2 linked regions of the Callithrix jacchus genome follow. The protein of the gene in region 1 interacts with the protein of each later gene in a pairwise test. Links are inferred from orthologs where the notes say so. Each region holds a gene or a part of one and is shown on either strand. Other genes may lie near its edges.

Region 1 (4,564 bases):
CCCCGTGCAGTGGCTCACGCCAGTAATCCAAGCACTCTGGGAAGCCAAGCAGGGCAGATCACCCAAGGTCAGGAATTCAAGACCAGCCTGGACAACATGGTGAAATCCCATCTCTATTAAAAATACAAAAACTAGCAGGGCATGGTGGCTGATGTCAGTAGTCCCAGCTACTCCAGAGGCTGAGGCAGGAGAATCACTTGAACCCGACAGGCAGAGGTTGCAGACAGCTGAGACTGCGCCATTGCAAACCAGCATGGGCCATAAGAGTGAGACTCCATCTCAAAAAACAAACAAACCCATCAATTATGTTACTGTTTGTTTTGTTTTGGTATTCCTGATGTGAGATGTCTATATCATGTATTGTTGATTCAGTTGTTCATCAGTTAATCCTGAATAACTGAAAACTAAGCTCAAGGCAATAATATATCGACTTTCTTTTCATGCATGTCAAACTGCTAAATCTACCACAAAATATTAGTCTTTCATCAGCGTGGTTTTCAGATCCAATATATTTTCTCCTCAAATGAAAGACAATGCATGCCGTCCACTACAATTAAAAAAAAAAAAGAGGAAGGAAAAAGAGGTTAATTCTATCTCCTTCCTCCCACCTCAAAAAGAGCTCAGAAATTAAGGTGGTTTCCCTAACAAAGCCTCCTCCTGCTCCATGAAGCGACCAAGCATGTCATGGCAGACCCAGAGATTTATAGATCTTCATCGTAACGACACCAGGGAAATCAAGATTTGACAAAATTCTTCCTTCACGTCCCCTGTTTTCTGCAAGACCACAACTTTCTAGCTAAAAAAAAAAAAAAAAAAGAAAGAAAAAAAGACAGCTGCAGGAATGCTTGGCTGCCCGCTAATGAACAATCTTGCCCACACGCAGAACTTGACACCCACTCTTACCACAGAATGGCCTTAGTCAGAGTAACCTCCCGCGAAGAGCAAACAGTTTAGCCGCCGCTCCCTCGAACATGTCAAAAGAGGAAGTCTCTTTTGAATCTGAGGATAGTAGTGAGGCACACCCCTTCTATTACCAGCATTGTTCCTTTTTTCAATCAGGCAGTGCATCAGCTAGACTCTTTTGTCAAAAGGGGTTGATGGTCGGAATCTTTGCGAGACAAAGATTCCAGAAAGAGCACTTTGGAATCAAGGAATTAATGTTAAGGCATCAAAGACCCCGCCCAGCTCCCACAATGACCAACAAACCAAAGCCGGGGATCTCTACTATTACCACCATCCCTCGCTCTCTCTAGCAAGGGATGAGACTCAGGCCCAGGAAACCCATCATTTCCGCGAGTGAGAAGGCGCCGGGTCTCCTCCCTTAGGCCTCTCCTTTACCTCAGCGTTTTCCCGGGACCCCTCCACTACGGCAAGCCGCGTAAGTTTTCAATCCCTAAGCCCAGTCCCAGCCACACACAAGATGGCAGCCCCGAACCTACTGGAGGAAACAGTCGCGCTACTACACAAGTGATGCCGGCCTCTCGACTACGAGTAACCCCATTGGCCCAGCCAGAGAGCGCGAGTCAAACCGAGAGCGCTGACAGCCAATCGGGAGGCGGCGCGTTCGGACGCCACTGCGGAGCCAGAGGTAAGCGCGCCGAGTCTCTGAGGAAATACCCAGTGGGGAGTGAGACCAATCAATGGGTTACTGGCTGGGTGGTGGGACGGCCAGAGTCCGACTCCTTCTATGTAGTGATCGCTTTAGGTGGGTCCTGGGCGGAGGTTCCGCCCTCCCTTGTTCCCGGCGGAGGCGGGGCAGGACTGTTGTGGTTGAGGTAAAGGCTGGTAATCGGTAAAGTACTTCCCGGCCAGAGGGCACCCGGGGCCGGGAGGGCTGAGCGGCTCGGCGTCGGAGGAGAGCCCCACCCGTAGAGGAACCCAGCCTTGCCAAGCGAGCGGGCGGAGCTCAGTCCTCAGGTCAGGCGGGCGGCGTAGAAAACGCAGCGGAGCCTGGTGAAACCAAGGCACCGCCGTGGGTGGCCTCGACAATTCCTCTAGTCTGGCGGTCGGAGGACCTGAAAACGCCGTGGAGCCCTCGGCCGCCGGAGCAAGGACTGGACCCCAGCCCTTGCAGCTTCCCTTCTCTGGGCACCCACGTGCAGTCCTGGCTGTAGAAGGAGCCGCGGGCACAGAGTTCTCAACCCCCATTTCAGCCTGTCTGTCTGTCTGTCTTAGGGAGCAGCTTTAATGAGAGGTGATTTCAAAGCTGCTGGGAACCTGAGGTTGTCAAAGGGACGGCAGGAAATGAACAGCAGTATAAAACCCAGAAGCAGAACTTGAAGGTTTAACCACTAGCCCATTTCACAGGTAAGATTACACGAGCCCATAAATGCAGCAAGAGCATCATTCACCCAAGATCACAGAGTTCAGATTAGATAGTAATAACACTTCATGATTCGCTATCAGCCACAGCCCAATAAGTAAGTAAGGAAAAATACTGTGCTCTTCGGCATGTGGAAACCTGCAGTGAGCTCTGTAAATATTAACTCATGAGGCCAAAGAGAGGAGTAACTTTGAAGAGGTCAGATGGGGTAATCAGAGCATAGGCTCTGAAACTAGGCTGCCTGGTTCCTTATTTTGTCTGCCACTTAACGGTATGAGGTGCCTTAGCTTCCTCATCAGCAAACGAGCTGCTAATTTAACCCACATGACTGTTAGGGGGATTAAATAAGAACACGTGAAGTATTTAGAAGTGACTGACCCGTGGTTCTTAATAATGTTTATTGCTGTCGTTATAATTAAAACGTCAGAAGCCGAGAGGAAATGCTGTGTTTTTAAAGCCTATTTTTAGAAACAGAAACCATACATTGAAGCAAAGCAGACTACCTTGATTATTTTTCTGCCAAAATGAAAAAGAAGGGGTAAAAGTTTTTAAAGCCCATTTACTCTCTGAAATATTGACACCAGTTGTCTCTGGATGATGAGATGGTGTTTAAATTTTCTCCTTTATGCTTTATTGTATTTTGCAGATTTTCTGCAGGGAACATGTTTTACTTTTGCCCCGTTCAGTTGTTTTAAAATTTTCAGGTGTGAACGCTGGTGAGAGTTTTTTAAAAATAAAGCTATGGGCCGGGCCTGGGTGGCTCATGCCTGTAATCCCAGCACTTTGGGAGGCTGAGGCTGGTGGATCACCTGAGGTTAGGAGTTGGAGACCAGCCTGACCAACATGAGACCTGTCTCTACTAAAAATACAAAAATTAGCCGGACATGGTGGGATACACCTGTAATCCCAGTTACTCAGGAGGCTGAGGCAGGAGAATCACTTGAAGCCAGGAGGCCCAGAGGCAGAGGCTGCAGTGAGCAGAGATTACACCACTGCACTCTAGTGTAGGTGACAGAGCGAGACTCGTCTCAAAAACAAACCAACAAAAACAAAGCTATGGCCAGCGAGGTGGTTCACACCTGTAATCACAACACTTAAGGAGGCAGAGGTGGGTGGATTGCTTGAGCCCAGAGTTTAAGACCAGCCTGGGCAACATAGTGAGACCTTGTGTCTAAAAATATAAAACTTACTGAGTGTGCTTAGGTGGAAGTATAATTGGTAGAACCTTTCTGGAAGAAAGTTTGACAATATGATATAACAAGCTTTAAAATTGGCAATTCCTTTTTGAACATTTATGCTTAATTTTTAAAAACGAAGTACACTTTTGTGTTCTTTTACAAAATTGGTACTTTGTAGATAAAGAGCACAATCCAGATTTTGGCCTTGAGTTATTCCTTGGGTGTCAAGATTATACTTACCTCATAAAAACAGTTGAGTAGCCTCCTGTATTTTTCCTGCTTGAAAGTTCCTATGTGATAAAAAATTGTCTGTTCTTGTACGAGGAATGTTCCCTCACTCCTCCTCTTCCTGCCTACTCCTTATGGAGACTTTGATACAGAGCTTTCAAATGTTTTTTAATATTTACACCTTTTAATACTGTTACATATTCTATATAGGTGAATATATATACATTTGTGATTTTTTGAGTGGAAAAGTATCATACTACATCATTCTGTAGCTTTATTTCTTAACAGTGATCTCACTACTGATCAGCACAGGAGTTTTGACCTGCTCACATATTTTTAGTGGAAAAATATCATACTACATCATTCTGTAGCTTTATTTCTTGACAATGATCCCAACTACCCATCAGCATGGGAGTTTTGACTTGCTCTGTTTATAGCTCATTATGTTATTTATGGATCATTTCTTCTACCTGCTGCATAGTGTTCCGTTGTATGACTGAATTGATCTGTTAAAATATTTCTCTCTTTTTACTGGTCTTTATGTTAAATCCTATTTTGTTTGATGTGTGCTGTATCGCACATTTTATTTCCAATCTCTTGAGGACATTAGGTTTCTAGTTTTTCACCATACAACAATGCTGCAAGGAAAATCTTTGTGTTTTTTTTGTGCACATGTGCTATTTCTCAAGGATATATACCTAAAAGTGGAATTGCTTGGTTTTAACTTGTGAATTTTAGTTTTAATAGGTCATGCTAAATTTGCCTCCAGAATACCTCTTCTAATTTACATGTTCCACAGGTAGTTTATGAGAGTTGAGTTTTCCTACAGTTTAGA
Region 2 (3,756 bases), on another chromosome or scaffold:
CTTCATCTCAAAATATTTTATCTCCTTTAATTTTTTTATACTGTATTTTCAGTTAAATCAAAAATAACGTATTTATGAGGTATAATTCGTTGTGTTTTATTTTACAGACAGGTGATACCAGCGAAGAGTAAGGTCTATGATAGCCAGGGGCTCCTGATTTTTAGTGGGATGGACCTCTGTGACTGCCTCGATGAAGATTGCTTAGGATGTTTCTACGCTTGTCCTGCCTGTGGTTCTACCAAATGTGGAGCGGAATGCCGCTGTGACCGCAAATGGCTGTATGAGCAAATTGAAATTGAAGGAGGAGAAATAATTCATAATAAACATGCTGGTTAACCTGTGGTATCAAACTATGGGGCCTTTGAAGGTCTTTATTTCTAAAATTCTGTTACTCTAAGATACATTTCAAGCTTGATTGTCAAATGACAGAGATTTTGAAACCACCTCAATGTGCAGTAATTTTTCATCTTCGGTGCTTTAAGATTCACTATTTGATATAAATTAAATAGGCTACTTCTCAGTAGTCAGTGTTAAGCCTGTCTGGATCAGTATACACAAGTAGAGGGTGTAGGCAGTCCTCACTTTGCATGGTTCCCATGGGCACAAATTTCAATGACCTAGATTTAAACACCACCAGTTTCCTTACCAGGAAGGAAAGAAAACTGGTGATGTTTAAATCTAAGTTAAAATTTTAGTTAGCACAGTATAACTATGAGTAATTACATGAGGTACAAACTTCTCTGCTAGTTCTTCAGTCTACAAATCACTATGTAAACAACAGATATGCTTCATGGTCATGATCAGCAACCAGTCATGTTACTTCTTTCAAATTCTTCCAGTGGTTGGTCCCTGCGCATCTGTTACTCGGTTCACTCACAGCAGAGCACGTAGTTATGCTGTCTTTTTGTCATCCACTTGACATTTTATAGAAGGGAACAATTAGCCAACAAAGATCAAAGTGCAGCAAAGCAATGAAAAATAGTAATAACACTGGAAGTGAAATTTGAATCAAACATAAATGGACTTGTAGAAGTCACTGATCATGGGAATGTTGTTCTTGCTGCTATTCATTCATAGGAGCTTAGCGAAGGCAAACTTATCAGTACATGTAGGAAAAGTGGTTGCAGTAAAGATAAATGTGTCCCGGCCAGGTGCAGTGGCTCACACCTATAATCCATGAGCCAAGGATTACAGACAGGCCACGTAATTGGGAGGCTGAGGTGGGCAAATCACAAGGTCAGGAGTTGGAGACCAGCCTGGCCAACATGGTGAAACTCCATCTCTACTAAAAATACAAAAAATTAGCTTGGCATAGTGGCATGTACCTGTAATCCCATCTACTCGGGAGGCTGAGGCAGGAGATTTGCTTGAACCCAGGAGGCAGAGGTTGCAGTGAGCCGAGATTGTGCCACTGCACTCCAGCAACAGGAAAGAAAAATATGTCCCAGAAGAAGGGAAAAATGCATTAAAGAATATTTAATGTGAATACAGAAATATTTCAAAAGCACAAGCAATAAAAGGGGGAAGCTGACCCAAACTTAAAAAGGTGGTATGACAGTTTGCCATGAATAGAAAAGATGCTTACTCAGTACCATACGTTACTTGGCAGAAGAAAAGGCAAGCCCTAGTCAAACTAGTTTCTACAATGGAATAAAACAGTTTAATTCTATTTCTAATGTTTTAAATAACATTGTACTACATAAATAGTTTTAAACTTTTTTGCATTTTTTACAAGTGATCTTAAGAGTTTTTAATATTTTAGCAGAATTTTAAAGGTTATGGAGCAGTCATTTTCCCCATTGATTATTAAGATTGTTTTGCATGGCTATTTTTATGGTCCCACGATACTGTGCAAAGTGAGGACTGCTTGTCCCTGAAACAATGCCTGCTTTGGGGAAAACTGATTTGACAGAACTGACTAGTTGAGTGTTAAACTATTTTGGAAATAATCTACATATCTAAGTGCTGAAATATATTTCTCTTCTCCCTGCTTATTCAAATAAAAACGTTTTAATACTATAAACTTTTCATTGTTTGCACCACGTGCTCCTTGTCAAAATGGTTCTGGGGGACAAAAAAAATCTATAAAGCATGAATATACACACTGTACATAAACAGATAATATACCTGGTATGAAAATTTGGGAGGTGGTTGATTAGGATTATAAAAAGACTCCTTAGGGAGTGATGATGAAAAAGAGAAACACTGGTTAATACAGAGATTAATAAGATTGCATCTTGATGGAAATTGCTTGGATGCTGTTTGGAAGATGGGGAAATGGTATCATCTCTTTGCACTTTTTTAAAGACGGCTGTCATTTTGTCTAAAAGCTTTTTGTCACATTAGGACATTGTCACTGACATAGGTTTTGGGTTTTTTTTTTCCACCCTAAATACAGTCCTTCAGTTTAATCAGTTGTGCTCTTAGCAATTTGAAAGATTTTGTAGCCATTAAAACTCAATTTATACAGCCAGTTTGAATTGACCATTAGAGGGTTTTGTTTGTTTTTTATGTTTTTAAAGTAACTGCTTTTGGTTTGACGGAGTAGCTTGTTCAACTTTAGAATTACATATCATTTTTAAGGTTTGATTGTACATTCACCTATTCACTTGCCGTATCAAAAGTACAGTTAGCTTCCTTGATCTGTGTGATTTGCCTGAGCACTGGCAAAAATACCATTTCAGCTTTATTCACTTAAGTCAGATACTAGATTTCTTTTCTCTAAGGAAATATTTTGTTATTGAGAATATAAACACTCCAGTTTTATCCAAACATAAGGATCATTTAGATCTTCATTGTTTCTACCATCTTTTAGTTTTTCTAAGTATGACATTGCTTAGGCTTTTCATAGGGACAAATTAAAATCTTAGGTTTTTTACTTAAAATAGGAATGTTTGTTACGGAATAAGTGACTTTAAAATTGCCATATTGCAGCATTTCTTAGACCTGTTATTTTTCAAAGACATAGTAATAAGTTTTTCAAAGGAAAATATTCTTGAACAATTTTGCCAATATTTGTTCATACCAATTTAGGGAACCAAACTTTTAATGAGCATACAAAATGTGTACAGAGAAAGATGTATCTGATTTACAGTAAAGCTGTAATAAAGCTGTGTTTTGAAAAAATTAATGCGCCTACTTACTATTTTGTAATATGAAATTACAGAAATAACCAATATAATGAAATCATCTAGAGCCTCTATATTGTGCCTAAATATTCCAGGTGACTAAATTACTTTAAAATTCTATTAATCTAAAAAGCAAAGTTTTATAAACAGTTTCTCTTGTGTGTAGATGCTAGTTGAGAAGTTAGATCACAAATGTTGGTCTCACACAATGTTGATCACAAATATTAAGGTAGAAATGCATGTATATGAATAAAATGTTAGGATTTTTTTTTACAATATGGAAATAGCTATTTACCTTGTAACATACAGGATTCTTCTATTTTTAAAATATTTTGTTTAGTTCTGTATAACAGGCTGTTCTACAACCTGACAGTCTATTCTAAAACTGCTTACCTGGCATGGTTTCAAGGAAATAATTTTTAGCAAGTAAATTTTTAAATACCCATAATGATTTATTAATACGAAAATAATTGTAGTGAGTATTATTATGGTCTTAACTTTTTGGAAGTTAAAGACCCCTGTGAGAAGGTGATGAAAACTATGAACTAACTTCCCAGAAAAATACCTGCATTTATGTACTCACAAATATCCATGTTCAGAATTCCTGAACATGTGTTAGAGTGCCTAG

What was found.
Region 2: the proteins of SETDB2 (region 1) and ARL14EP interact in binary tests that used the Homo sapiens proteins (3 or more experiments, as listed by UniProt). The two-hybrid records come from large-scale screens. The link is inferred for Callithrix jacchus from reciprocal best matches to the Homo sapiens genes SETDB2 and ARL14EP.

The regions. Positions count from the first base shown.
Region 1 is NC_133502.1:66,543,862-66,548,425, reverse strand, and holds the start of SETDB2 (histone-lysine N-methyltransferase SETDB2), read left to right. Parts: upstream 1-1,546; 5' UTR 1,547-1,588; intron 1,589-1,619; exon of another isoform or gene 1,620-2,175; 5' UTR 2,176-2,307; intron 2,308-4,564. UniProt on the Homo sapiens protein: Histone methyltransferase involved in left-right axis specification in early development and mitosis. Specifically trimethylates 'Lys-9' of histone H3 (H3K9me3).
Region 2 is NC_133511.1:95,684,903-95,688,658, forward strand, and holds the end of ARL14EP (ARL14 effector protein), read left to right. Parts: intron 1-107; coding exon 108-336; 3' UTR 337-3,126; downstream 3,127-3,756.